2 linked regions of the Xenopus tropicalis genome follow. The protein of the gene in region 1 purifies or fractionates together with the protein of each later gene. This does not show direct contact. Links are inferred from orthologs where the notes say so. Each region holds a gene or a part of one and is shown on either strand. Other genes may lie near its edges.

Region 1 (15,502 bases):
ATTCAACTGCAACTGCTAGGAGTCTCTTGGGCCCATCTTGTTCTTTTAACCTGGAGGTTGGGACTTTTGAGACAACAAATCAGAATACTGACTGCTACATTATTTCAAGAAAACTATGTAAACACCTTAATGGTTGAAACATGTTGGAAATTTTGTACAATGTGTTTCTTTAATAAACTTTTTCTACTTTTCAGTTTTGCCTTTGAGTGTGCAGTCACCTTTGATGTATTGAGCAAAGCCAAATGGGGTGACAGACATTACATTTACAAATAGCTCGAAAACTGTTGAAAACATTAAATGAATGTATATTGGAGAATTTCATTCATTAGGCAAAATGTTCCCCTGCTTATTCAGTGTAGTGTGGGAAAGCTTTAGCGGCCATACTTTCCAGAAATGCTGCAATTGCTTTCATTAGAGTGAAGCTCTTCTCGCCACTTTTCAGGGTCTCGTACCTGAGGCTGAAGGAATTCAGTAAGGAAGCAGTCGCTCGAATGGTCGCCAAAGCCCCTTATCTGCTGAACTTCTCAATAGAAAGACTGGATAACCGCTTGGGCTTCTTCCAAAGGGAACTGGGCCTAAGCACAGAAAAGGTAGGAATGTGGGGGGCCTTGGATTTTATTGTGTTATTTGCCATTTTAAGCAAAATCCTCTGACAGTGATGTTGGTGTCCTGGGATATAGCCATGTACTCTGCTCTAGCAGCTCCTGCAAGTGGACAATGAGATTATTGGTGGACAAATCAGTTTCTGGCCATTTAATAACAGTTCTGGTGCATTTCATGAATGACTTACTGCCATGCTGGAATGAGTTACCAGTGCAGTTTCTTATATGATTGCTCAGAATTTTAATGTCCCTTGAACATTGCCCTTAAGTGTATGCACATAAATGCACTTTCTGTTTGTTGATCCAATGTCACAGATTGTGCTTAAAGACAAGTAAATGCTCATTGGCAATATGGTAGGCACCCCCCTAGTGATTATAATTGCTCTCCTCAGCCCCTGGGCTGGTGCTGCTCTTCGCTGAAAACTCCAGTGGCCTGGGGCACTATTGTAGGAAACGTTTTGCTGCCATCTTTCTTTGGGTCCTTTCAATCCTTACTGATGCCCTGGCAGTGCCCATGCCCAACAGAGCAAAATCAGGATTTCAAAACTGAAAGCCAAAGTCTTTGCCGTATTGCGTGTGCTCCCACCACAAAGCAGCAGTAATATATTGCAGAGACTATAAGCAAGATGGCAGCACAGGGATCCCTACAATAGTACTGTATCATTCACTGAAGAAGTGCAAAGGCCCGGGGGCCTGAGCTTTGTGATCATTGCAGTGTGCATATATTCTGTGATAAAAATTAAATTTTTTTCCAAATTATTGTATCTTTCAACAGACAAGGGACCTGATTATACGCCTTCCGAGGTTGCTAACTGGAAGCCTTGAGCCTGTAAGAGAGAATCTGAAGGTAAGCCTGTTTGCTGCTGGAGAAAGACCCCCCCCCCCCCCCCTCCCATTATAGAACATAAGCTCACTAAGGTGCATAGACAGATCTAACGTTCTCAGATATAATTATAAACATACATATTTTTTTTGACCCAAACTTACATGATTCCACATATTGAAACCATTATAGTCTCTCTGTGCTTGCTTGGGCCCCACCCCCGTAAGCTCACAGTGCAATGCAGCCAAACCTTGTTCCATTGTTAAAGTGATGGCTTCTAGTTCATGAAAGACCTTTGCTTTCCATACTGGGTGGTACACAGATTCTCTACAAAGCAGAGGAACATGTCCCAGAATCCATCACTTCACAATGGAACAAGGTGGGGGTGGGTTGGATCACTTTTTGGGACTCTGTGGGAAGCACCAAGACAGACTATTGTGGGTTTTTTTTAATCCGTGGAATAAGGTCTTTCTTTTTTTTTTTTTTTTTTTAACATAAGACCAGCTGAATGAGCTTGTGTCAAGAAAAGGAGGGGGGAGGTGTACAACAAATAATAGGTGTACAACAAAATAATATTGCTTTAATTTTACTTTTAGTAGTGCGCCCCCTTCTGTTTATTACCTATTTTCAACCTATGTATAAATACCAGTTATCTGTGTGTCATTCTAGTAATGCTATATCACTTTCATTAATATTAATAATATATGTATTTACAAAACACCAACATATTTTGCAGCATTGTATAATAAATGGGTGTATGCGTTAAACATTCCAGACAATATAGGAAAACAATTAATACAAGAGGTCAAAAGGGCCCTGCCCTAAACAGGTTCTGGTTCTCGTTTTGCATGGTTTCATCATAACAATACATACTTATTTTTTATTTTGGGTTTTTTTTTTTTAGGTATGTGAAATTGAACTGGGATTCAAAAAAAATGAGATCCAGCACATTGCAATAAAAGTCCCTAAAATATTAACAGCGAACAAGAAGAAATTAATGGAAACCTTTGATTATGTGCATAATATAATGGGAATCCCCCATCATCTTATTGTTAAATTCCCACAGGTATTGTGAGCTTTTCTTGTTAATATATATTATCCAGCTCATAGGTAACACCTCGCCTTACCTAGTATTTCAGGGAAGCCTCCAAAACCTCCATGTGGACCTTATTCAAGAAACCTTAATTTTGACTTCAGAATGTATTAATTAAACAATTTTACAATTGATTCAAAGTAATTTGTAAATGTAACATGTGTCATGTGTCTGTTCCTTTCCTACCCTGCTGGTACTGAGTTTTAAAAAAGTGTAGCAGAAGACAACCCCAGCCAAGACTCCCTATTCCCACAGTGCCTTTCACTAATCTGCTAATGATGTCACTTCTGCCACGTTGTTTCAATAGTCAGAACCAGCAGTGAGTGTTGAGAATAGCAAGGTAAAGAAGATTATATTTACAGATAACTTCAAAACCTGTATATTGAAAAGTTGCTTAGACACTTCGCTTAGAGAAACGAGAGAGGTGAGAACATGGATCGTGCAGGTATATCCAGTAACCAATTTGTTTCATTTTCCCTGCAGGTATTTAATACAAAGTTGTTAAAAATGAAGGAGAGACATCTGTTCCTGGGATTTTTGGGCAGAGCTGTATATGATCCCACAAAGCCAAACTATGTCTCCTTAGACAAACTAACATCAACTCCCAATGAGATTTTCTGTGTGGAAGTTGCCAAGGCGTCGGTGCAAGATTACGAGCGGTTCCTGAAAACTCTGTGAATAACGAGCATCTGAGAGCTGTGTTTTCCATGCTGCAGTTAGGCGCCTGTATAGAATATCTTTGTGTGCATGGAGAATATTTATGTATATATTTACAATGTAATCTGTTTCTACGCATAAAAGAAAATGTTGGTCATAGGCAGTTCTGTAGCATTGTTACATATGAAGATAATATTTCTAAAGCTCCTTATGTATTTGTACATTAACGGAACAATATATAAGATTCTTTGCTTTGTATGAATAAATAATGTCCTCCTGGATAGATGTGTGGTTGTATGTATCAAGCAAGAACCTCGATACAGCTCCATACTGGCACTTAGTGTATAATTATGCAATGCCCATACTATAGCCAGCTCAGTATTATCTTTATAACCACCATTTTATCTGACTTCTAAGCCACGGAGTAAAAGTACATTTTGGGGCAGATTTATCAAAATGTGAGTTTAGAGATTAATACATAAAAACTCACCAATGTTCTATTCATTCCTATGGGATTTTTAGAAGTGTGGGTGAAAATTAGAACTCAACATTTCATAAATAGGCTTCTGAAAATCCCATAGGAATGAATAGAACATTGGGGAGTTTTTATGTATTAATCTCTAAACGCACATTTTAATAAATCTGCCCCTTTATGTCTGGGACGTTCCTTTGCTGAGGGTAGGTGCTTAGCAGAGGTTATCGCAGGGGGTGCTTTTAGCCAGCTGAGAATCAACAACAATCCTCTGCTGTCTGCTCCCTTTGACATGAATGGGAAATGCCAGTATAGGTGCTTTTTAGACTGAAAACTCTGGCATGTCTCTAGGACAGTGCTGTCCAACTGGCGGCCCGCGACCCCCCTCTGTGTGGCCCCCCACCTGTCTGGCTGCTTTGATGGCTTACCTTTGAGTAAGCTTTAAATGGTATCAGTACTGTGATTAACTGCCCCCCCCTGCATGGTTCTCACCTCCAGATTCAGGCTGTAATCAGGCTGTATTGTTTAAATATGTAATCCCCTGTGTTGTTCACACCTTTTAATCTCTGCATTGTTCACCCCCTGCAGTGTTCACACCTCAGGCTCAGGCTGTAATCACCCCCCATTGTTCCCCTGTTCACACCTCAGGAGCAGTAGAAACCCACAAATAATCCCTGCACACTACAAAAGGAACATATACTGAGGTGGTACTGCAATTAAAAAGTTTTTTAATATATAGTTATTGTGCAGACTGTAGGAGCAGTGCCAGCATTGTGTCACTGTAGGCTGCCTGTGTGTGCCATACACACAGGCATCATAGGGCAAGCAGAGTATGGCACACACAGGCAGCGTAGGGAAGGCAGAGTATGGCACACACAGGCCAAGTATGGCACAAACCAGCCAAGAATGGCAAACACAGTGAAAGTATGGCACATGCAGGCAGGGTAGGGAAGGCAGAGTATGGTACACACAGGCAGGGTAGGGCAGGCAGAGTATGGCACACACAGGCCAAGTATGGCACAAACCAGCCAAGTATGGCACACAGGCAGGGTAGGAAAGGCAGAGTATGGCACACACAGGCAGGGTAGGGAAGGCAGAGTATGGCACACACAGGCAGGGTAGGGCAGGCAGAGTATGGCAGGTTTTTGCTGTACTACAACCATTAATACGGGTATGGTCATGTAATAACATGGGTGTGGTTTCAAGTGGGTGCGGTTTCAAAAAGGGGAGTAGTCAAAACTGGCTTCCATTATCGGCCCTCCACCACGTAGGTCGGAAAAATTCCGGCCCTCAGTACAACAGAAGTTGGACAGCACTGCTCTAGGAGATACTAAAATGGAATAACAAGTTAATACATTTGTTAATAGCTCTAATTTTAGTGTAAATTGGATTTTAAATCCAGGAAAATGTGATGTAATGTCTCCAAAACAGGAAGTTCGGCTTCCCCTTACCTATTTAGTTTGCAGGTAGCACCTTTTACAGGCAAGTGTTAATATTTAGTTTGCATATTGATGGGTAAGGGGAAATTAAAAAAAAAAAAAAAAAAAAAAAAGGACTCAGTGGTGGGTGCTGGAAATTGTGTATCAAGAACCAACAAAAGGCCCCATATGGAACGTGTAAGTGCCACCTAGTTACCCTGCAATCCCTGCTGTTCCAGAAGCTATTCTCCACATTCTTGTTGTCATTTGTGCTCATCCACACATTTCCTACCTGATACTCTCACTCTGCTAAGAGAAACTATGCTGCTCAGATAAATCTTTAGTATGCACTAAACAGGCACAGCAGCCTCCTGTTGGTTGGCACATGGGGCAAGTTCTGTTTTACTGCAAAAGAACCTTCTGGTGCCTATTCTTTCACTCACTTTACACACAGCCTAAGTAAGTGGTAGTTGCACTACACCCCTTGGATATTTCCACATAGTGAAAGCCCATCTTGAATGTTTAGAGTCCTATGTACCCCCATGCTCTGAAGCCTATCTAGCTGGTCTGGTCTGTAAATACAGCCAAGTAGGGGTTACACATCACTCTGGGAGGAACCATAAGCCAGACTGGTACATACTAACACAACTCTGGTCATGCCCATTCCCACACCTTGTGTCTCAACCCTTTCTCCTTGTAGATTGTAAGCTCTTTTGGGCAGGGCTCTCTTCACCTCTTGTATCGGTTATTGATTGCTTTATATGTTACTCTGTATGTCCAATGTATGTAACCCACTTATTGTACAGCGCTGCGGAATATGTTGGCGCTTTATAAATAAATGTTAATAATAACAATAATAATACATTTATAAGTTAGTAAATGACATAGGCATTGGATATCCAATCTGCTCCTCTCAGCTGAACGTCAGCTCTCAGTTTAGCCAGCTGTCAGAGGGTTGATGAAGGGCTGCAGTGAGTCTATCTCTATGGGGGCGGGAAGCTAGTAAAAATGGCAAAGTTTTGATACTTTCTCTCATTTGGATTAACTATATAGACATTAGAAGTGGTAAAGCTGACATAGTTACAGGGAGGGATTCTATAAATCAGGGACGTCCAACAACTAGAGGCACTAGGTAGGACCTACTTGATACGTGCACCGAAATATAGTAACACTAAAAAGCAATTCGTGTCCCCTCTACAAAAAGCGACGAAAACTATAAGAGTTGCCATAACTACGAAAACATCCACTTTCATAAAGTTCAATTGACAAAGACGTGCCCTTCCCTTACTTCCTGTTACACTTCCGCCCGTACTTCAAGCTGCGCGTCGTTTGTACGCGACTCTACGTCAGACGTCATTCTCACTGGGAAAGATGGCTGCTCGGGCACCAGGTAAGGTCGAGGCAGCTTCTCCTTCACTGGCCCCTCTGGGGTCTGGGGTTACTTGTTCCCTATTATTTGGGGCCCTGTGAGGCAGAACCCTATTTATTGTGTGGGGGTGACATGGAGAGAGGAAATGCCGCCTGTGTCCTATCTGTGACCCCGTCCCCTAGCCCCTGAGCCGCCTGTATGGCCGGGTCCTGCCGGGCTGGGCTGCTCCTCAGAGGTCATGGCTTGCTGAGAGACTCCCACACTGCCTAGCAGATAAAGTGACAGCTGTGCTGCCTGCCTGGGAGTTATCCCTAATGTGTTTAATAACAGCTCCCAGGGTTTGCCCCATGTGTTACTGTAAGTGGGGCTCAGGGAAAGCTGTGGGAGATCTGGGACTTTGGGGTATATTTCTCATGCTGTGTAAAAAGTGGAGTAAAACATTACCGGTGATGTTGCTCATAGCAGCCAATCAGATGTTTTGCTTTGATTTTCTAACTGTTGAAATCTAATTGCTGATTGGTTGCCCTGGGAAACATCACAGGTAATGCTTTACTCCACTTCTTACACAGCATGATAAATATACCCCTTTGTGTGAACGTTACATCTCATGGTAATAATTGCCCTTCTGATGAACTTGGTGGGTCACATTCACTCAAACTGACATTTATATTGCAATTTTGTCCACATCTGATAGGTGGCGCTGTTGTTTCAAGTTCATTAACACAGTTAAAACTGCTATTGTCTTGAGAACTAGTACTTGGGATGATCGTCTCTGTGGCTAAAAAATACATAGACATTAGAGCAGGGTAGAGCTGGGCAGTATGACCAAAAATTTATATCACGGTGTTTTTCAAAATTATATCGGTGTCACGGTATTTGACGGTATTTTTTTTTTCCATGCATGATTAGGTGTTAACCCCATTTCCTAATAAATTAGAGAATAATTACTGCAGTATTGAAAATCAGAGTCAGGCAAGCGAAGGATCAGCAAGAGAAAGTCGTAAGGTAAATTAGGCAGGCTTAGTTTCTCAGGCAAGGCCGCAGACAACATAGCACAGGAGGAGGCGTTTGATAGCTTTAAATACTCCCCGCGCATGCGCAGAACCCGTCAGCGCGTCATGGATGTGCACGCTTTGACGCACGCGCACCTGGACAACGGGACACCGCACGGGTGAGTACCCCGACACCCCGGTATTGCGGTATCTGAAAAATGAATATAGTTTTAAAAAAAAAAAAACACCGGTATTCGGTATTAAACAGTATATCGCCCAGCCCTAGAGCAGGGGTGGGCAAGCTACGGCCCGCGGCCACATCCGGTCCATTGGTCTTTTTAATTCGACTCGCCGAGGATTGGTGTGTCTCACTTTGTCCAGACTCATCACGCGAGACTTGGCGTCAAGACTGCATGTAAGCGCTGGCCCGGCACGTCTGTCAAATTTTAAAAGTCAATGTGGCCCCTGAGCCTAAAAGTTTGCCCACCCCTGCATTAGTGGCTGTGTACATATTGTAGCAAAACCAGTTATTTCTGGAACTTTCCTTCATTTTGCTTTTCCCATGTAAAGAATAATGGGTTGTTGGTGATTTGCTTTGCTTGTAAAATGGATCATAATTCTGTTTCCATGTTATTTTGATTATGAATACAACAGAACATAATCTTTCCATTTTGTTGATACATTTACTTCCTTATGTTGCAGTTGCCGCATCAGGCCGACTCATTGACGGTTTGAGGAAATGGTACTATAATGTTGCCGGATTCAACAAACTCGGTAGGTTAATGGATACGGGTACACCAGCAATGATAAATTCGCTTCCCAAAAAAGGAGCGGGTCACCTAACTATTTATTTGCAATAGGCTTAGTCCAACTGAAATCGAAAGCTGCAGATAAAAAGAGACAGTCACCCTGGCAGCAAGAAAGTGTATTCACGGGGAAGCTAGATTGTTATTCTTGCATTTTTGTGACCTTTTCAGGGTATCGCAAAACTGGGGAACTGCTGACAATTTAAAGGCAATTTGGGGCTAAAAAGGATTATTACTTTAAAGGAGTGGTTTACTTTTGAATTAACATTTAGTATGAACATTTTGAGGCAGTTGGTCTTCATTTTTTTTTTAATTTGTTATGGTTTTTGAATTAAGCTTTTTGTTCAGCAGCTCTCCTGTTTGGAATTTTATCAGCTACTTGGTTTATAGGGTCCATTATACCCTAGCAACCAGGCATTGGCTTGAATAGGAGAGAACCTGGATAAAAAGAGAAGTAAGAGAAAGTAATAATAACATTAAAAGCAATAATATTTTTGGGAGACCACCATTTAAAAGCTGGAAAGAGACAGAATATTTCTTATTATTATTACATAGAAGCTATATAATTCCAAAACTATAAAAAATATTGGCCAATTAAAAAGATGAGTAGAATAGTCTATTCTATAACATAATAAAAGTGAACTTTTTGGTGAGCTACCCCTATTCTATTAATGGAACTCCCAAAATTTCCTCTATAATCCTTGTCTGTTACAAATGAGTATTGGGTGCATCCTCGTGATCCTTCCCCAAAGCCCAGTAGAATGTTGGTAACGAATCGCAGCTCTCCCCTTGTACAGAGATGTGCACACTGCAGTTCCTTGTCAGCCTGCCAAGCTGCTAGCTAAGCTCTATGGTCTGTATGAGGCCAGCCAATCCACACCCTTAGTGCCACCAGTATGCAGCTTGTCAGAGCCTCAGCTAAAGTGCTGCCTCTCAATCTGTCCCATTCTGTTTGGGGCGCCCCAAGTGTTGCCAGTAGGCAGAATACAGGCGCTGTGGTGACCATGTGTTTTTATTTTCTTTGGCAGGTTTAATGAGAGATGACACAATTTATGAAGATGATGACGTGAAAGAGGCAGTAAGGAGGCTGCCACCTAAAGTTTATGATGACAGAATCTTTCGAATCAAGAGGGCATTGGACCTGAACATTAGACAGCAGCACCTCCCAAAGCAACAGTGGATTAAATATGAAGAGGTATTTAGCATAATTATCTTTAATGTAAATGAGGAAACTACAGGTCCAGTTCAATGTGCAAAGTGCTTGTGACATGGGTGATGTTTTGCACCAGAGGTAATAGTACATTCCATATTACTTAAAATATCCCACATAATGGTACATGTGCTATTGCTGAGCCACAGTCAAATGTAGAGAGACTTGGAGAGCAACACAAGCACCATAAAAGTTCATGGAGGAGCCAAATAAGGGCTGTGATTGGCTATTAGGCAGCCTCTATGCACCCTATCGACTTACAGGGGCTTTATTTGGTAGGAAATCTTGTTTTTATTCAACCAAAACTTGCCCCAGGTCAGGAATTCAAAAATAACTCCCTGGTTTGGGGGCACTGAGAGCAACATCCAAGGGGTTGGTGAGCAACATGTTGTTGTAAAGACTCTGTCCGTGCTGGACATTTATTGCAAATGGAATATTTTTTCCAAAGCAATTATATTTATCTAAATGAAATAATTTAATGCCATATTTTTTTTTTTTTTTTTTTTGTAGGATGTTCACTATCTGGAACCATACCTCAAGGAAGTGATTCGTGAAAGAAAAGAAAAACAAGACTGGATGAAGAAATGATGTGCAAATGCTGTTTTCTGGGAAAGTTTATGTAAATGTCTTGTCTATTGAAACAGAGCCTGTCCCTTTGTACTTGTGGGGCTGGCCAAGAAATAAACATTCGGAATGAACATCATCTGTCTAATCACGTCATTGAGCAAATTGCACTCATACAGCCAACTGGCTGGCAACTTTTGGAAGCAGTTTTATTTTTGTTCAGGAGTTTGTCGTCTCCTGGTTCACGTATGTTTGGGCACATACAAATATTGGGTGTTCTATACATATGGGCCATCTGAATGATCAGAGATGGAAAGTGGTGTCCAGTATTCCTATCCTGTCTATGTGATTGGTCACTCTGCAAATCTGCACCTAGGCAGTAGCCCATAGCAACTGATCATTCATTTTCTTTGTTCATCCAACTGCAGTTAGAGTAAGGAAAGCAAAAATTTGGTTGCCATGGGTTGCTGGACTAGTGCAAAGTTGTGTGGTTTTAGTAACTGAGCCAGTCTGATTACCATAACTTTTTCGGTAGACCCTAAGGGACTAATGCTTTACCTTTCTAATCATCTCAAGGGGGAATTCCCTGTCTTTCCCATACTCCTTTGCTTTGTTGTGTCACTAGAACAGCACAAATGTGTGCCCTAAAAAACAAATTTGCCATTTGTGTAAATGGAAAGTGGTGGAGGAAACCTTAACAGTTCAAAACTCACTCACAGAACCATGAAGAACACAGTGTTATGTGTGCAACTTGGCAATTTTATTTCAAAATTTCTGATTCTTGGCCTGAATGGAGCTCTGGGAAGAGGGATTGCTGTAAGCTTCCAAAGTCATGCAATTAGCAAGTTCCCTTTCTGGTATTTTTAGATAATTAAATTCCATTCTTTGTTTGAAATGAAGAAGGAAATATTACAGCACTGTGTAATAGTAAATATACACATTGTAATTATTCTTTGTTTCTTAGTTATGATTCAGCGGTATAGGTGGGGCCTGTGCGCACTGAGGTTGAACGTGGGACATCCAGCACTCCGGACTCATGAAAACTGCTAAAATCCAAAGTTTATTCCTTCATGTTTAAAACAAATAAACACCTGACGCGTTTCGTGCCCTTTAGGGCACTTAATCATAGGAGATTATGATTAAGTGCCCTAAAGGGCACGAAACGCGTCAGGCGTTTATTTGTTTTAAACATGAAGGAATAAACTTTGGATTTTAGCAGTTTTCATGAGTCCGGAGTGCTGGATGTCCCACGTTCAACCTTGGAGAATTTTCCCTTTCAGCTGCGGGTTCGGGGCCTTGAGCACCCGGACCACCATCGGCTTTTGGTGAGCTACTTGGATTTCTTTGTCCGTATATTATTGAATGATCTTTTTTGAACCTTGCGTCGGGCTCGGGGTTTGAACACCCGGGCCTAGCCCGATACTGGGTACATATATATAACCTTTACTGTTTTGATGTATATTAGGGAACAAATTTTGATTCAATCATTGACTATATTCCAATTATTTTTTGAGTCAGTTAAGATAACTATTTTACTGAATTTATTTCATGAAATCCATTTGAGGTTTGTTTATTTCACATTCCTCTCCCTCTTCCCTGTGCACACTTACCCTACTGTTGCAGGTTTTCGCTTTTATGGTGAAAAAACAAATAAATTCCAGACAATCCGCTGAAGATTGCACCTTGAACCAACTTTCCCACAGGATAAACAGATGAATATTGTACGAGTGGCCATATGCTGTAAGGCAGTGATCCCCAACCAGTGGCTCAGGTACAACATTTTGCTCCCCAACCCCTTGGATGTTGCTCTCAGGGGCCTCACAGCAGGTGCTTATTTTTGAATTTCTGTTTAGTAGGCAAGTTTTGGTTGCATAAAACCCAGTGTAATTGCCAAGCAGAGCCTTCTATAGGCTTCCAGTCAACAAAGGGGCCATCAAATAGCTCTCATTGGCACCTCCTTTTTTCATGCTTGTGTTGCTCTCCAACACTTTTTCCATTTGAATGTGGCTCACGGGTATAAAAGGTTGAGGATACCTGTTGTAAGGCCACATTAAAGGGGTTGTTAACCTGCGCTTATCTGCAGGCTGGGAATCTGCCCATGTGGCATTAGCTTTAGTGAGTGGGTAAACAGGCAAAACTGCCCCATGTGCCATTAGCCTCAATTAGTTTGTACAGTAAAGAAGATGTACACAGAGTATGCACTTGTAAATAATAGTATATTAACTTCTATGAACAATAACTTCAGATCATAAATACATTATACTGTGAGGGGCAGAAGCAGCACAAATACATTAAATACAGGGAGAAGCAGTGGGATCTTCAGCCCCAAATACATTAAATACAGTGAGAGGCGATGATTTCTGACACCCCAGACCCACTTACCCTTCCAAAAAGCAGGTTTCCTGGGGGCTGGAGAAATTTTCAGTATTCGAGATCAAAACAAATTCAGAAATAATTTGCATTGCTAAATGTGCTCACATGCCCCACCTAGTGGTAGTCAGAATAGCACCCAGGCTGGAGAACCCGTGTTTCGATATTATGCGACTTGGGTCATATGGACAGTACATTGAGTAGGAGAAACAATAGGTTAGCTGAAAGCAGTTCTAATGTGTAGCGCTGGCTCCTTCTGAAAGCTCAGACTCAGGCACAATGCACTGACATGGCGCCTACACACCAATATTACAGCTAAAAAATAATTTTTTTGGTTCAAGAAATTTTAAATGGCAGAGGGAATTATTTGCAATGGATACTGGTCTACCAAGCCACTATAGCGTAGCATATCCCAAGCACCACATCATATCCAGTACTGGTCTGAGTGTCAGTGAAAGGTTGGAGGCCTGATAAGCATGCCTTTAGCCTGTCCATTTATCCTGGCATTAGATACCATCCTCCTTAGATGCCATCTTTTCTCAGATTCCAAATTTACAAAACACCCATTTTTATGCAATTTCTAATTATCTCTCTATGACAACAGCAATGCCTCTCTAATATGTATCATTACCACCAAATATGAATTATTTGCTACAGGTGTATAAATATGAGTAAATGTTTAAGTTGCCTCTGTAGATAAAATACACTTTTTGGCCAAAGGTATATTTCTATCTAGTCTGACAGTTGGGCAAATGCCTGGATAACTCTACTTGCCTGAATGCACTGTGCTGACTGTGATGTTTGCTTGAGGAGGAGCTGTTTCTATGGTTTGGGGAGACATTCTTGGCAATTCTGTGCTTCCTACTTTTGTTTGGGGAAGGTCTTTCCCTGTCTCAGCAGAATAATGCCCCCATGCAGTAGGAGAGGTACTTATAGAATGGATTTGCTGAGATGGGAATGGAATACTATGACTGGCCCAACTGAACCTCTGTGGGATGAACAGGAACCCTGACTGTGAGTCGGGCCTGATCCCCAACGTCAGTGCCCAACCTAACTAATACTCTTGTGGCTGAATAGAAACAGCTCCCACCAATCATGTTCCTACATCTAGTCGGAACCTTCCCAGAAGTGTAGGGACTGTTACAGCTCCACACTTATACCCCTGGTTTGGGAATGTTTAAGAGGCAGGTATCCAGGTACATTTTGCTTTATGGTGTTCATAGATATACAGGTATGGGAACCCTTATCCGGAAACCCGTTATCCAGAAAGTTCCAAATTACGGAAAGGCCATCTCCCATAGACTCCATTATAAGCAAATAATTCAATTTTTTAAAAATGATTCCCTTTTCTCTGTAATAATAAAACAGTACCTGTACTTGACCCCAACTAAGATATAATTACCCCTTATTGGGGGCAGAACAGCCCTATTGGGTTTATTTAATGGTTAAATCATTCCCTTTTCTCTGTAATAATAAAACAGTACCTGTACTTGATCCCAACTAAGATGTAATTACCCCTTATTGGGGGCAGAACAGTCCTATTGGGTTTATTTAATGGTTAAATCATTCCCTTTTCTCTGTAATAATAAAACAGTACCTGTACTTGATCCCAACTAAGATATAATTACCCCTTATTGGGGGCAGAACAGCCCTATTGGGTTTATTTAATGGTTAAATGATTCCCTTTTCTCTGTAATAATAAAACAGTACCTGTACTTGATCCCAACTAAGATATAATTACCCCTTATTGGAGGCAGAACAGCCCTATTGGGTTTATTTAATGGTTAAATGATTCCCTTTTCTCTGTAATAATAAAACAGTACCTGTACTTGATCCCAACTAAGATATAATTACCCCTTATTGGGGGCAGAACAGCCCTATTGGGTTTATTTAATATTTAAATGATTTTTAGCAGACTGAATATGGAGATCCAAATTGCAGAAACATCCCTTATCCGGAAAACCACAGGTCCCAAGCATTCTGGAACAGGTCCCATACCTGTATAATATTCTGGCTCTGTGTGAGATGCACCTCAAACCTGCTAATACACACCACAGTGTGAGAATCCTTATGGTAGCCATTAGCGGCAAGCCTGGACCAGTAATCTGTGGGTTCTGGCAAATGCCAGAGGGGCTGCTGTAAGATGCCATAGACAGTCACTAGACCTGATTTGTGGTTTAATACAGTGTCAAAATGTCCACAACCACCTAACAACCTCTAATGTTGTCCCTGGGAACCATGTGAAAGCGTCGGTATGGTCAGTTGGATAAAAATTTGTTGGTTTTATTCCTGTTTGCTATGGACAATGTCACAATAAAATGGGTGTTAATCTGGTGCAACGTGATTGGCTACAGTCCCAAAGCACTGAAACAAATATACTGACTCTTGTTTAATAACTATAGATCACCTGCGTTTAATCGTCCGCTATGGACACGTTACCTCATGATCTGTTTACTAAGGACTGGGTGATTAAATAAGATGTTTGATGGCTTCTCATGTGGTTCCTTGGGGCGCAATAAAGCAGAAGAGTGTTGGCTTCGGTGTGTTTGTATGGGCTGAGTTTCCAAGGAAAACCCATTCTTCCTTGCAGGCTAAAGCCATCGGGCGCCTTCTCATCCTCACAGGCCCTTGGGTGCAGTCAGAGGCTCCACAACTGAGGTCCTGCTCAGATTTAATCCCTGTTTAAACTCAGGACCCCACGACAAAAGCAGGTGCTTCCCACAAAGGTCAATAAAGAACCTGTTGATTCTCTCCGTGCTTTCCCTATGGTTTCCCTATGGCTGTGTAATCCTTTCTAATGGATGGGTCTTAGTGGCCCACTCTGGAGTCATCTGCTTCTCATCCGTCTTCTCTGCACATCTCCACCTACAATAGCAGAGGATGAGGCCGGCCGCTCATACACCGTGTCTTGTAAGGAATGATGTGCTCATTCTGTGGAGGCGGCCAGGAACCCCGTTACATATACCTCCCCTGAGAGCCAGAAAGATTCCTTAGGACACAAACAGAAATGTGTTAATCGTGCAGCATGGCGCACAGGCGCTGACAGATGCACCTCATTTTCCACTTTATATAATGGAACAAGTCCTGCTAGAGCCGACAGGAAGCACTAACAATTTCAGGCAGATC
Region 2 (15,497 bases), on another chromosome or scaffold:
ATTTCATGGAAACAAAGCGCCCTTCCCGAGACATCAGGCCCTAAAATACACACTATTAACCCCGTGTTGGCTTGGTGGTGTCGCTTACACACAAGCACCAAGAGAACAGATAAGAGACATAAGTGTCAGAAGGTTTTATTAACATATAAAGGAATTCTACCACTTGCTCTTCACTCAGTGACAGATACAAACAGTAATCATTGGACTGATACACGTTCAAGCATTGGCGATACTCCTGTACCGAGCGGCGGAAGCCGGTCTATAGCTTAGATTTTGCCTGGGAACGTGCCGCACTCTCTCTGCTCGTCCCATTTTTCCACCTAGAAAAAAAACACAATAGAAATGAACACAGTTATTACGGCAGCCCCACCTCTGGTGTCGGCCAATGTAGCGACGGAGGAAATAGAGCGTAGCAGCAGGCACACTTCACTTTCTGGCAGCATGAAGGAACAGAGCCTATAACGATTATGGCTCCAATTACACACCATCTGTCCATTCAGCCCACAGTGAATACATGCTGGCATGGAAACCAATGCAGTCTGCAGCAAACATCTCAACTGCATGGAGCAAATGCATTTCATATTATATTCTGGCTGTACAAACAACTATTTTTGCAGTTTTAAATAATGCATGGTAGTTATTGAATTGTGCTTTAAGCACAAGTAAAGCACAAAAAAAGGATGCTTTTCTAAGCACTTTTGCACTAGTATTTAAGTTTTTATTAGCTGCCAATATAATCACTTTTGTAAAAAAACAGCTCCACCTGCTGGTCACTTTTGGTAACTGTACAGTCAGAGAGATGTATGTATGTCTTTATTTATAAAGTGCTACTTATGTACCCAGCGCTGTACAGTAGAAGAGAATACTACAGGCGGTTATTACAATAGATAAATACAAAGTATAACAATAAATACAAGGTACCGTTGCAATAAGTTAAGAATCAAAGAGACAAGAGGATGGAGGTCCCTGCCCCATAGAGCTTACAATCCAGATGGAAAACAGAAGTTTTGTTGCTCAGCTCAGGATAGAGATCAGAAGCCTCAGATGCCCTTTCCTGTCTCTTCCCTGACCAGAGCAACATCAGAACCCTTCTCTGTTTCCCTTCTGAAGGGTTGTAGATTGTAAGTTCTTTTGGGCAGGGCTCTCTTCACCTCCTATATCGGTTATTGATTGCTTTATATGTTACTCTGTATGTCCAATGTATGAAACCCACTAATTGTACAGAGCTGTGGAATATGTTGGTGCTTTATAAATAATGCGCCCAAAGACAGCTTGACGCCAGGGCCGGAAACTAGGGGTAGGCAGGAGAGGCAGCTGCCTATGGCGTAATGATTGGGGGGCGCCAGGTAGGAGCTGGCGGTAGACGACCAGGTTGCCTATGGCGCCCGGTCAGATTGGCCCGCCCCTGCTTTACACCCCATGTGGCCAGTAATCTAAAAAAATAAATCTTAAAAGGGTGCAGGCAGGAAACATCAAGTAATGAATGAATACAAAGTGGCATACCCATTTCAGGGGGCACATTGCCCTATAAACACGCTTGTACCAGTCGCAGACAAATGAATCTTGTCCTTTGGCGGTCTTAGCCTTCACGCAGCGATGATAATCTGAAAAACAAAGGGTGACAGGCCCACATTAACATGAGTGATCCAAACAGCAGGATCTCAAGGGAAAACCGTGCTTCTTTAATATTCCTTCATCTGGAAATGAAACGGCACAGGGAGATTCATTTGTCAAACCTGCCCGTTAAAGCAGCTATGCAGCATGGGATTGTCAGGCCACTACACTGCTATGGGGAAACGGAGGAGACTTTATTGGCACAGGGTAGGGGTGGTTTTACTGCAGGACAACGGGCGATTGTACTGGGCTTTGCGAGAAGTAAAATCAATGTGAATATGATGTAATGAGGCTTTAATAATATGTTATGTAATAGGTCTATTATATACTAACAGACCTAGCCTTTCCCCCCTTGCCTTGTTTAAATGCTTATGTAGAATTTTTAGTTACAGACTGCTCCATAGCAGCACGGGGAAAAGGCACATGTAGCTTAAATCTATGTTTCTATTTCTTCAGACAGTTTGGGGGGGGTAATGTTGCAATCATAAATTTAAATTAAAGGTGCTGATAAGAAGCTTAAGTGCCGAAGGTCCTTCCGGGTCAGGGCACACAAGGAGTCAAGCACCCGTTGCCTTTTCGCCGTGCTGCTATGGAGCAGTCTGTAACTAAAATTCTACAAGAAGCATTTAAAGAAAGGCAAGGGGGGAAAGGTTAGGTCTGTTATTATATAATAGTAATGTTATATAATATTATTACAGCAGTCTAACTAAAATTCAACATGAAGCGTTTAAAGAAAAGCAAGGGGGAAAGGCTAGGTCTATTATTAGAGATGTTTTGTGGCGAATAAGGTATTACATTTTTTATGTGTTACTGTTTCTTTAAGGTACGATTGTAGCTGGTCATATCGGTCCAATTTGGCAGCGTATCTGCCCGTGTATGGGCACCAGCGATGGAACTGCCCGTCCGACATCTGGCCTGAAACTGCCCAGATCTTGATCGGGTGGGTTTGATTTTTTCCCGTCTGATCGGAGATGAAGCCCCCAAACCGCCGGCACCTATGCCAGCCTTTTTAATTCAATCGTTTGGCCCTAGGGTCAATCAATCAAATTAGCCCAATATCGCCTACCCATAGGTGGGCAAATCAGGAGAAGATCCGCTTGCTTACCAACCTCACCAAATGAGTGGATCTTACAGTGTATGCCCACCATTAGTCTGAAAAAAATACAGTGACATAGATGTATCTTTTGAGCTTCAATCTCCTTTAACCCACAATGGAGCGTTTCAGATGCGACGCATTTGTACGTAATTTGTGTGTTAGAATCTCCGCACTGAAGCTCAGTCACAAAGAGCGAAGCATGAACGCCGCAATGTAGAAGGGGAGGAGCTACACGCCTTACCAAGGTAATTGGTGTAGCAGTGTTTGGTCTGATTCTGATTGGGGAATCGAGCATCGAAAGGAGCGGTTCTGAAGTTTTCAATCTTAGTGCGGATTTCATCTTCCATTTTGCCTGCAAAAAGAGAACAGAGCAGGAGTCAGAACATGGTAATAAGCCTTTTCATAGTCAGATAATAACTGGGATAACCAGCGAATCAGGCTTCAGAACCAAAGTCTCATTTCATTATCTGTCAGTATAGCAATCTGCAGCCAACTTCAAGGGGAACTCCGCCCAAAAACAAATGTTTTGCATAATGAAAGGAGTAGGGAGAGATGGTGCCTATAGTAGCAGTGGGAGGATAATAGCCTCTGGGAAGGGACTGGGGCTGTGGGATAGCAGGTATAGTAGGGAGAGATGGTGCCTATAGTAGCAGTGGGGGGATAATAGCCTCTGGGAAGGGACTGGGGCTGTGGGATAGCAGGTATAGTAGGGAGAGATGGTGCCTATAGTAGCAGTGGGGGTATAATAGCCTCTGGGAAGGGACTGGGGCTGTGGGATAGCAGGTATAGTAGGGAGAGATGGTGCCTATAGTAGCAGTGGGGGGATAATAGCCTCTGGGAAGGGACTGGGGCTGTGGGATAGCAGGTATAGTAGGGAGAGATGGTGCCTATAGTAGCAGTGGGGGTATAATAGCCTCTGGGAAGGGACTGGGGCTGTGGGATAGCAGGTATAGTAGGGAGAGATGGTGCCTATAGTAGCAGTGGGGGTATAATAGCCTCTGGGAAGGGACTGGGGCTGTGGGATAGCAGGCATAGTAGGGAGAGATGGTGCCTATAGTAGCAGTGGGGGATAATAGCCTCTGGGAAGGGACTGGGGCTGTGGGATAGCAGGTATAGTAGGGAGAGATGGTGCCTATAGTAGCAGTGGGATAATAGCCTCTGGAAGGGACTGGGGCTGTGGGATAGCAGGTATAGTAGGGAGAGATGATGCCTATAGTAGCAGTGGGGGTATAATAGCCTCTGGGAAGGGACTGGGGCTGTGGGATAGCAGGTATAGTAGGGAGAGATGGTGCCTATAGTAGCAGTGGGATAATAGCCTCTGGGAAGGGGACTGGGGCTGTGGGATAGCAGGTATAGTAGGGAGAGATGATGCCTATAGTAGCAGTGGGGGGGATAATAGCCTCTGGGAAGGGACTGGGGCTGTGGGATAGCAGGTATAGTAGGGAGAGATGGTGCCTATAGTAGCAGGGGGGGGATAATAGCCTCTGGGAAGGGACTGGGGCTGTGGGATAGCAGGTATAGTAGGGAGAGATGGTACCTATAGTAGCAGTGGGATAATAGCCTCTGGGAAGGGACTGGGGCTGTGGGTTAGCAGGTATAGTAGGGAGAGATGGTACCTATAGTAGCAGTGGGATAATAGCCTCTGGGAAGGGACTGGGGCTGTGGGATAGCAGGTATAGTAGGGAGAGATGGTGCCTATAGTAGCAGTGGGATAATAGCCTCTGGGAAGGGGACTGGGGCTGTGGGATAGCAGGTATAGTAGGGAGAGATGGTGCCTATAGTAGCAGTGGGGGGATAATAGCCTCTGGGAAGGGGACTGGGGCTGTGGGATAGCAGGTATAGTAGGGAGAGATGGTGCCTATAGTAGCAGTGGGGGGATAATAGCCTCTGGGAAGGGGACTGGGGCTGTGGGATAGCAGGTATAGTAGGGAGAGATGGTGCCTATAGTAGCAGTGGGGGGATAATAGCCTCTGGGAAGGGACTGGGGCTGTGGGATAGCAGGTATAGTAGGGACAGATGGTGCCTATAGTAGCAGTGGGGGGATAATAGCCTCTGAGAAGGGCTTGGGGCTGTGGGATAGCAGGTATAGTAGGGACAGATGGTGCCTATAGTAGCAGTGGGGGGATAATAGCCTCTGAGAAGGGACTGGGGCTGTGGGATAGCAGGTATAGTAGGGAGAGATGATGCCTATAGTAGCAGTGGGGGGATAATAGCCTCTGGAAGGGACTGGGGCTGTGGGATAGCAGGTATAGTAGGGAGAGATGATGCCTATAGTAGCAGTGGGGGGATAATAGCCTCTGGAAGGGACTGGGGCTGTGGGATAGCAGGTATAGTAGGGAGAGATGGTGCCTATAGTAGCAGTGGGGGGATAATAGCCTCTGGAAAGGGACTGGGGCTGTGGGATAGCAGGTATAGTAGGGAGAGACGGTGCCTATAGTAGCAGTGGGGGGATAATAGCCTCTGAGAAGGGACTGGGGCTGTGGGATAGCAGGTATAGTAGGGAGAGATGATGCCTATAGTAGCAGTGGGGGGATAATAGCCTCTGAGAAGGGACTGGGGCTGTGGGATAGCAGGTATAGTAGGGAGAGATGGTGCCTATAGTAGCAGTGGGGGGATAATAGCCTCTGGGAAGGGACTGGGGCTGTGGGATAGCAGGTATAGTAGGGAGAGATGGTGCCTATAGTAGCAGTGGGGGGATAATAGCCTCTGGGAAGGGACTGTGGCTGTGGGACAGCAGGTATAGTAGGGAGAGATGGTGCCTATAGTAGCAGTGGGGGGATAATAACCTCTGGGAAGGGACTGGGGCTGTGGGATAGCAGGTATAGTAGGGAGAGATGGTGCCTATAGTAGCAGCGGGGGGATAATAGCCTCTGGGAAGGGACTGGGGCTGTGGGATAGCAGGTATAGTAGGGAGAGATGGTGCCTATAGTAGCAGTGGGGGGATAATAGCCTCTGGGAAGGGACTGGGGCTGTGGGATAGCAGGTATAGTAGGGAGAGATGGTGCCTATAGTAGCAATGGGGGGATAATAGCCTCTGGGAAGGGACTGGGGCTGTGGGATAGCAGGTATAGTAGGGAGAGATGGTGCCTATAGTAGCAGTGGGGGATAATAGCCTCTGGGAAGGGACTGGGGCTGTGGGATAGCAGGTATAGTAGGGAGAGATGGTGCCTATAGTAGCAGTGGGGGGATAATAGCCTCTGGGAAGGGACTGGGGCTGTGGGATAGCAGGTATAGTAGGGAGAGATGGTGCCTATAGTAGCAGTGGGGGGATAATAGCCTCTGGGAAGGGACTGGGGCTGTGGGATAGCAGGTATAGTAGGGAGAGATGGTGCCTATAGTAGCAGTGGGGGATAATAGCCTCTGGGAAGGGACTGGGGCTGTGGGATAGCAGGTATAGTAGGGAGAGATGGTGCCTATAGTAGCAGTGGGGGATAATAGCCTCTGGGAAGGGACTGGGGCTGTGGGATAGCAGGTATAGTAGGGAGAGATGGTGCCTATAGCCTATGGGAAGGATGTCTGGCAGTGGGATAAGAGCTATATTAGTATCAGACAAGTCTACAAGTTGCAGTTGAACAACAGCGGAAGGACCATAAGTAAAAAAGCCCTACTTGGTATAAATGATAGAGCCTTGAAGCCCAAATTCCCTCCCCAGTCTATTAAATCAGACGAAACTTCTCAGGGCGGCTCCGTTCTAATAAACTGCAGAATAAATTTCCTCCCAGTCGACAAAAGACGAGAAGCTTCTGTGGGAAAGGTGACAGTTTAACAAACCCTTATAAACCCAGACACGGGGATGAACTGCACACGTATGTTTCACGCCTGGTCATACAGGTCACCTAGTTACAAGGTGACAAACACCCACTGTCATTTCCCATAGTGGGATTATCAGTAAGGGCAATAAAGGGGAAGTCTGACTTACAACTAACTTTTCTAGAAGACAATTCCCATTTGAACTTTATTTAATTCCCCCTTTTGGTTCTATAGCCACAAGTAACGTGCACCTACCTACCTGTCACCTGAACCAACTGCCACCTTTATAGGCAATTCCACCCACACCACCATATAAACTTTGACCCTGCTACTTTTTTCAAAGGAATAACCAGTCAAACCCTCGGAAGAATTACCCAGAGGCCGAGGGTCCCATGTAAGAGGCACAGCTGCCGGGCATTACACATATTAAACTTGGGCATTAGTCAGTATTTTTTTTTTCCACCCCATTTCTGTTCTCTGGTTCTGACTCCTGAAACAATGTAGCAGACATCAGTTACAGGTCTCATCATCAGCAGAAGCTGGGAGTCAGAACCAGCAGTGCAGAGAGTATAAAAAGCCAGATACTGCTTTCCATTGCGAATGCATTAATATATCTTAGAGTTGCAGGGTGTGTTGCCCTTTAATTGGAATGCAAGAAGGCTGCAGTGTGGGTGTAGCACAGTGACAGCACGTAGGGCCAACCCTCACTACAGTACCCAGCAGCCCCTGTAATACCAATGGGCGATAACTAGGCCGAGGGCCCCTACCAGTAACCTAATTGGACAGCAAGGGAAGCCTAGCAGGAAGGTTGTGGGATATATATACCATATCGCCCCCCCCCCACCAAGGAATGGTTTCTCCCAGGATCACCGCGCCTTCCAAGCACCTCGTTTATCCGTTCAGACAAGCTGCGCCCCAGCCCAGCCCCCTCACACCGACACTTATCCCGTCCTATGTTACTCCCACCACTGCCCTTTCCCTCTCGGCCTCCCCAGCCCGGAGCCCGGGGCCGCCACACTCTCACCTCGAGTTCGTCTTCCTCAATGTCACTTCTACCCAGCTACGGAAATGCGGCTATGAGGCCGGATGTACGTCACAGGCATACACTAAGGGCACCAGCAGGAAGGGCAGTAAGTACCTGCGCGTCCAGCGTGATGAGGTCACGTATGGGCGGGGCTAAGGAGTCAAGCGCAGTAGCGAATGGGAAGCCAGACTGGCGGGGCTAACTAAGGGTTGGTTTGAGCTCAGGCTCTTATTGGTTGAACCGTCGGCTGTTGGCGCCATTGTGTGTGAGAGAAGCGGGCACGTAGCCTTGGGGCGGAAGCTGTTGACTAGTTATCTCCATTTCATAGGGGAACTGCGGCTTCTGTACCCAAACTTGTTACAGAGTTTCACACAACACAGACACCCCATAGCACTGTAATCTGTTCTTTGAAAAACTATGAATAAAAGGCATTTTTATTAAATGAAATCCAGCTGCAAAACAGTTCTTCTCTTTCTGCATCATTTGAAATCCTGGCAGGGGAGGAGGGACTAAAACACTGATGTTGAAAGTTGTAACAACTTCTCCATATTTTACAGGAACTACATAACCCACAATGCATTGTACTGTGATGTACCTTTCCTTATTGACAACATGTGCAGCAGGGGATTGTGGGATTGGGATGAGGCACTGTGATGTACCTTTCCTTATTGACATCACGTGTGCAGCAGGGGATTGTGGGATTGGGATGAGGCACTGTGATGTACCTTTCCTTATTGACATCACGTGTGCAGCAGGGGATTGTGGGATTGGGATGAGGCACTGGGATGTACCTTTCCTTATTGACATCACGTGTGCAGCAGGGGATTGTGGGATTGGGATGAGGCACTGGGATGTACCTTTCCTTATTGACAACATGTGTGCAGCAGGGGATTGTGGGATTGGGATGAGGCACTGTGATGTACCTTTCCTTATTGACAACACGTGTGCAGCAGGGGATTGTGGGATTGGGAGGAGGCACTGTGATGTACCTTTCCTTATTGACAACACGTGTGCAGCAGGGGATTGTGGGATTGGGATGAGGCACTGTGATGTACCTTTCCTTATTGACATCACGTGTGCAGCAGGGGATTGTGGGATTGGGAGGAGGCACTGTGATGTACCTTTCCTTATTGACATCACGTGTGCAGCAGGGGATTGTGGGATTGGGAGGAGGCAGGCTGAGGGCAGGCGACTACTGGTACATTTATTTGAGTCTCAAAGTTGTAGAATCTAAATCTGTAAGAGTATGAAAGATGTAGTTGTACAAGGCGTCCCTCGGATATGGGAGGAGCTCATTCATGGCTATTGGAAGTTCTTGATTTCATTTCAGTGCTATCAAATATGTCTAGGGTTACAATAGTTTTGTCGATCAGTTTTCGTTATATCTAAAAGGATATGTCTGAATGGAATAACAAAGTCCTGTGCTCTGTATAGTGAAACGAGGAATTGTGGAAACCTGCTTTGCTGAACTTCAACCTTATTTTGCACTAGCCAATCACATAATGGGCCAAATCAGGGAATGTAATTGTGTAAGCTTAGGGTAAATTGGGGACACCGGATTTACCCCAAAACCAACCACCTTACACCAAATTTCACGGATGAGACCATTTCTTTCAGGTTTGAGCCCTCTCATATGGTGTAGGCCAAGGGGCAACCATTTTACCAGTCACAATACAATTGTACGGCCAACTTAATTTGTAGGATAGTTGAAAAAAGTGCGAAGGTGTCAATACTGTTGGGCATTTGCAGAAGAAGGTGAGAAAACCCAGTCTAAAGCCAATTCCAGGCCCTGTCAGACAGAGAAAAATATTCCTTGCTCCAAAAGAATAAATGGACCAATCACTGGATCAAGTTTATTCTAAGTTAATTTCACTATATCTTAATACAAATTGGCCAACCCTTTCTGGAACCTGCCATATATATCTACAACCACTTGATGAAAGCATCTTACTTTTAATCTCAAGCGATTCTTTTGTGTCATCGGGAAAGATGTTGAATGTGATCCCTTAGCAAACCTTCAAACAACTTGCCCACTACATATGTCAGACTTACCGGCTGATAATTACATATCTGAAACTGTTTTGAGTAGTGTGATTACATCAGCTTTACTCTGGTTGGTACCATATCAAATGAGAGTCTAAAGAAATTGTCAAATCTCTTGGCAGTGTTGCTGCTCCAGTCATTACCTGAGTAATTAAGCCCCGCCTCCATTTTAAGACCTGCCTCAGACTTGCAGCCTTTTCTGCTGAACATCTTCATTTACCTGTCTGTTGCTTTACCACCTGTAAAATATGGCTCATTGGTTAGCTCTGCTGCCGACGGTATGTTCCTGAGTACAGATCTGACCTGAGCACCAGTCTACCTGGCACGTTAGTTGGCTACTGATAAAAAATGAACCCCAGCCTGTGTCAATATGACTAGTAGACTGTAAGCTCTTTGGGGACAGAGGCTGATATAAATTATAAACAGTCACTGTAAAGCGCTGTGTAACAGGTTAGGGCTACACAGGGTCGGACTGGGGGGTGCAGGGCCCACCGGGGCTTCTGCCTCAGGGGCCCCTACACCCCCCAATGATCCCCTCCGCCTTTACACATACCCCCCCGCTAAGGCCCCCACCCCCAACACCCTCCGACCTCCTCCCCCGACCGCTCCTAAAAGAAACTTACCGGATTGGATCTGGGCCGCCGGGGCCCACCGGGTTTTTTCCTGGTATCCCGGCGGCCCAGTCCGACGCTGGCGCTACATAAAGCATAATAACATGTAAGCTCTTTTGGGCAGGGCCCTCTTCACCTCTTGTATCGGTTACTGATTGCTTTATATGTTACTCTGTATGTCCAATGTATGGAACCCACTTATTGTACAGCGCTGTGGGGTATGTTGGCGCTTTATAAATAAATGTTAATAATAATAATAATGTAGAGTGTAAGCTCTTTTGGGCAGGGCCCTCTTCACCTCTTATATCGGTTATTGATTTCTTTATATGTTACTCTGTATGCCCAATGTATGTAACCCACTTATTGTACAGCGCTGCGGGATATGTTGGCGCTTTATAAATAAATGTTAATAATAATAATAATGTAGAGTGTAAGCTCTTTTGGGCAGGGCTCTCTTCACCTCTTGTATCGGTTATTGGTTGCTTTATATGTTACTCTGTATGCCCAATGTATGTAACCCACTTATTGTACAGCGCTGCGGGATATGTTGGCGCTTTATAAATAAATGTTAATAATAATAATAATGTAGAGTGTAAGCTCTTTTGGGCAGGGCTCTCTTCCCCTCTTGTATCGGTTATTGATTGCTTTATATGTTACTCTGTATGTCTCCTTGTAGAGTGTAAGCTCTTTTGGGCAGGGCTCTCTTCCCCTCCTGTATCGGTTATTGATTGCTTTATATGTTACTCTGTATGCCCAATGTATGTAACCCACTTATTGTACAGCGCTGCGGGATATGTTGGCGCTTTATAAATAAATGTTAATGTAATGTAATCTGTTCCTTCAAAAAGTAGAAATAAATACCATTTTTATATACTGAAATCCAGCTGCAAGACAGTTCGCTTTTTGCATCATTTAAACTCCTGACAGGGGAGGAGGGGCTAAAACATTGATGTTACACATTGTAACAACTTCTCCACAGTTTGTGTTTGGGTGGAGTTCTCCATTAGTGTTCATTGATAGATTCTAGCAGAAAACTGACCGGCACAATAAGTGTGATGCAAGTGGGGCTTAGCCCCTGCGTGTTTCATCAAAGTATAGCAGCAACATTTCGGGGGGTGTACCCCTTCGGCAGGCATACAAACCAGTGCAATGAAAGTGATTAAATAAACCCACAATTAATCAACATACATAATTGTACAATTAGCATATTTAACATTTAAAAATACAGAGACAAAAATCATAGTGGCAATTCTTATAATAAGAGAAGGCAATGGTCCGTGTACAAAAAGTCCATGAAGTAAACATAATTCCAATAAATGTTTTATATAAACATCTGAAGAATAAGCCCATATATACAGAACCTACCAAAATAACTCAAGAAGATTAACACCAAAAGAACTCGTTATAGTTACATAGTAATATTAGCAAAAAATAAATAAACCTTATAAAATGATACCAGTAATAGAAGCATCGCTACGGTCTAAAGGGAACATTTGTTGCAAAACAAACCAACCCTGAACCAACCACAATTTATATTTTATATCTGCAGAAAAAAATACATAATTAACAATAACCCTAATACCCCCACAATATCATAAAAAGCAAGACATAGTAAAATCCTAATTTAGACCTCTAGGATGTTTTGTTTTTAGGGCCCAAATCCAATAACATTCATTTTGTAATAAAATTCTCTTTGTACCCTGTCCCTCCCTTACTTTCATTTGTTCCAATATTTGCCATCTAAGTTGTGAAATCTGATGACCACATTCAAAAAAGTGTTTGCCCAGGGTTGTTTCTATTTTCTCCTTCCCCAGGTTTTTTACCAGTTCTTTTTCTTGGATATGTTGGATTCTACCACCAGATGTCACTTCAGGATAGGAATTGGAAACCTTGGTGGCGTTATGTACAAAAGCTGCTGTGGCAGATCTCTGCTGTGAGTCTTCATAAAAGCTAGGGGGCAGCACTGGACTCTCTTGGGCATGTCTGATGCACTTGCACCCATATAAAACGGATTTAACTGCTTGCAGTCCCAGATACTTATAGAACAATCTGCTTGGTTAGTTTATGTATGTATGTATATTTTTATTTATAAAGCGCTACTTATGTACGCAGCGCTGTACAGTAGTTTATTGAAGCTTTGTACAATTCAGCCAAGAATTATAACTCAAATGACCCAGTATAAAGTACCCAGCAGTGGATCTGTCAAACGGGAAGACAGGGCCCCATCAGGGGGGACAGTCCTCCCGAGCTGGTGTATTTTAAGTTTAAAGGGGGGCCTGACTGCGAAGAAATCCGTCAACGCCAATGTAATCCGAAGCCGAGTGCCGCCGAAAGCACAGGGAATGAATCAGGTTACTCGGGGGGTCAGCCATGTTTCTGGTGGGAAACAGGACCCTTTCTATTGGAAAGACAAACTTCCATGTATGAACATGTCTGTCAGTTTAGTTCCACCTGCCAGTTTTATAGATCTGTCAGCCAAGGGCAACAACCCCCCCAACTGTGAATTCAGTCTGTACCCCAGGGCACAGGGCCACTGACACCGGGAATCCCTGAGTTTAATGGGACCTGCCCACAATAATGTTATTTTATAGAAAGAGCTATCAAGTATTGCAATTTATAACCATTCTCCTTAATCACTCCAGACTTTCTATCCACCATTTTACCTCTGACAAGCTCTTCTCCATCTTTAATAGGAAGCACTTCCTAAATGAAGAATCACAGAAATACCCTGTATTATTATTATTCTTTTTATTAACATTTATTTATAAAGCGCCAACATATTCCGCAGCGCTGTACAGTGTTACACGGGGGTAGCCAGGGCTCACTGAAAAATGTGATCATCTTCCTGTAGGGCTGCCACCGTACGGCAAAAATTTCAGGGCCCCCTGGGCCCCGCCCACCCCAGCCCCACTCTATTATCCCCCCATTGCTACTATAGGCACCATCTCTCCCTACTATACCAGCTATCCCACAGCCCCAGTCCCTTCCCAGAGGCTATTATCCCCCCCCTGCTACTATAGGCACCATCTCTCCCTACTATACCAGCTATCCCACAGCCCCAGTCCCTTCCCAGAGGCTATTATCCCCCCCCTGCTACTATAGGCACCATCTCTCCCTACTATACCTGCTATCCCACAGCCACAGTCCCTTCCCAGAGGCTATTATCCCACTGCTACTATAGGCACCATCTCTCCCTACTATACCTGCTATCCCACAGCCCCAGTCCCTTCCCAGAGGCTATTATCCCCCCACTGCTACTATAGGCACCATCTCTCCCTACTATACCTGCTATCCCACAGCCCCAGTCCCTTCCCAGAGGCTATTATCCCCCCCCCCCTGCTACTATAGGCACCATCTCTCCCTACTATACCTGCTATCCCACAGCCCCAGTCCCTTCCCAGAGGCTATTATCCCCCCACTGCTACTATAGGCACCATCTCTCCCTACTATACCTGCTATCCCACAGCCCCAGTCCCTTCCCAGAGGCTATATTATCCCCCCCACTGCTACTATAGGCACCATCTCTCCCTACTATACCTGCTATCCCACAGCCCCAGTCCCTTCCCAGAGGCTATTATTCCCCCACTGCTACTATAGGCACCATCTCTCCCTACTATACCTGCTATCCCACAGCCCCAGTCCCTTCCCAGAGGCTATATTATCCCCCCACTGCTACTATAGGCACCATCTCTCCCTACTATACCTGCTATCCCCACAGCCCCAGTCCCTTCCCAGAGGCTATTATCCCCCCACTGCTACTATAGGCACCATCTCTCCCTACTATACCTGCTATCCCACAGCCACAGTCCCTTCCCAGAGGCTATTATCCCACTGCTACTATAGGCACCATCTCTCCCTACTATACCTGCTATCCCACAGCCCCAGTCCCTTCCCAGAGGCTATTACCCCCCCACTGCTACTATAGGCACCATCTCTCCCTACTATACCTGCTATCCCACAGCCCCAGTCCTTCCCAGAGGCTATTATCCCCCCACTGCTACTATAGGCACCATCTCTCCCTACTATACCTGCTATCCCACAGCCACAGTCCCTTCCCAGAGGCTATTATCCCACTGCTACTATAGGCACCATCTCTCCCTACTATACCTGCTATCCCACAGCCCCAGTCCCTTCCCAGAGGCTATTATCCCCCCACTGCTACTATAGGCACCATCTCTCCCTACTATACCTGCTATCCCACAGCCACAGTCCCTTCCCAGAGGCTATATTATCCCCCCCACTGCTACTATAGGCACCATCTCTCCCTACTATACCTGCTATCCCACAGCCCCAGTCCCTTCCCAGAGGCTATTATTCCCCCACTGCTACTATAGGCACCATCTCTCCCTACTATACCTGCTATCCCACAGCCCCAGTCCCTTCCCAGAGGCTATATTATCCCCCCACTGCTACTATAGGCACCATCTCTCCCTACTATACCTGCTATCCCACAGCCCCAGTCCCTTCCCAGAGGCTATATTATCCCCCCACTGCTACTATAGGCACCATCTCTCCCTACTATACCTGCTATCCCACAGCCACAGTCCCTTCCCAGAGGCTATTATCCCACTGCTACTATAGGCACCATCTCTCCCTACTATACCTGCTATCCCACAGCCCCAGTCCCTTCCCAGAGGCTATTATCCCCCCCCCCCCCTGCTACTATAGGCACCATCTCTCCCTACTATACCTGCTATCCCACAGCCCCAGTCCCTTCCCAGAGGCTATTATCCCACTGCTACTATAGGCACCATCTCTCCCTACTATACCTGCTATCCCACAGCCCCAGTCCCTTCCCAGAGGCTATTATCCCCCCACTGCTACTATAGGCACCATCTCTCCCTACTATACCTGCTATCCCACAGCCCCGGTCCCTTCCCAGAGGCTATTATCCCCCCCACTGCTACTATAGGCACCATCTCTCCATACTATACCTGCTATCCCACAGCCCCAGTCCCTTCCCAGAGGCTATTATCCCCCCACTGCTACTATAGGCACCATCTCTCCATACTATACCTGCTATCCCACAGCCCCAGTCCCTTCCCAGAGGCTATTATCCCCCCACTGCTACTATAGGCACCATCTCTCCCTACTATACCTGCTATCTCACAGCCCCAGTCCCTTCCCAGAGGCTATTATCCCCCACTGCTACTATAGGCACCATCTCTCCCTACTAAACCCGCTATCCCACAGCCCCAGTCCCTTCCCAGAGGCTATTATCCCACTGCTACTATAGGCACCATCTCTCCCTACTATACCTGCTATCCCACAGCCCCAGTCCCTTCCCAGAGGCTATTATCCCCCCACTGCTACTATAGGCACCATCTCTCCCTACTATACCTGCTATCCCACAGCCCCG

The links.
Region 2: the proteins of cytochrome b-c1 complex subunit 7 (region 1) and cox6b1 purify together in Homo sapiens (affinity purification with mass spectrometry; 3 studies listed by BioGRID and IntAct, counting the BioPlex papers as one, with this or other methods). This does not show direct contact. The link is inferred for Xenopus tropicalis from reciprocal best matches to the Homo sapiens genes UQCRB and COX6B1.

What each region holds. Positions count from the first base shown.
Region 1 is NC_030682.2:130,040,096-130,055,597, forward strand, and holds cytochrome b-c1 complex subunit 7, read left to right. Parts: upstream 1-6,349; 5' UTR 6,350-6,436; coding exon 6,437-6,455; intron 6,456-8,128; coding exon 8,129-8,200; intron 8,201-9,260; coding exon 9,261-9,427; intron 9,428-9,952; coding exon 9,953-10,030; 3' UTR 10,031-10,145; downstream 10,146-15,502. Other genes in the region: mterf3 (transcription termination factor 3, mitochondrial), read left to right, coding at 443-590, 1,378-1,449, 2,330-2,491, 3,002-3,196. UniProt on the Homo sapiens protein: Component of the ubiquinol-cytochrome c oxidoreductase, a multisubunit transmembrane complex that is part of the mitochondrial electron transport chain which drives oxidative phosphorylation.
Region 2 is NC_030683.2:124,514,901-124,530,397, reverse strand, and holds cox6b1 (cytochrome c oxidase subunit 6B1), read right to left. Parts: upstream 7,542-15,497; 5' UTR 7,485-7,541; intron 6,454-7,484; exon of another isoform or gene 6,319-6,453; intron 3,063-6,318; 5' UTR 3,058-3,062; coding exon 2,952-3,057; intron 1,605-2,951; coding exon 1,504-1,604; intron 321-1,503; coding exon 267-320; 3' UTR 123-266; downstream 1-122. UniProt on the Homo sapiens protein: Component of the cytochrome c oxidase, the last enzyme in the mitochondrial electron transport chain which drives oxidative phosphorylation.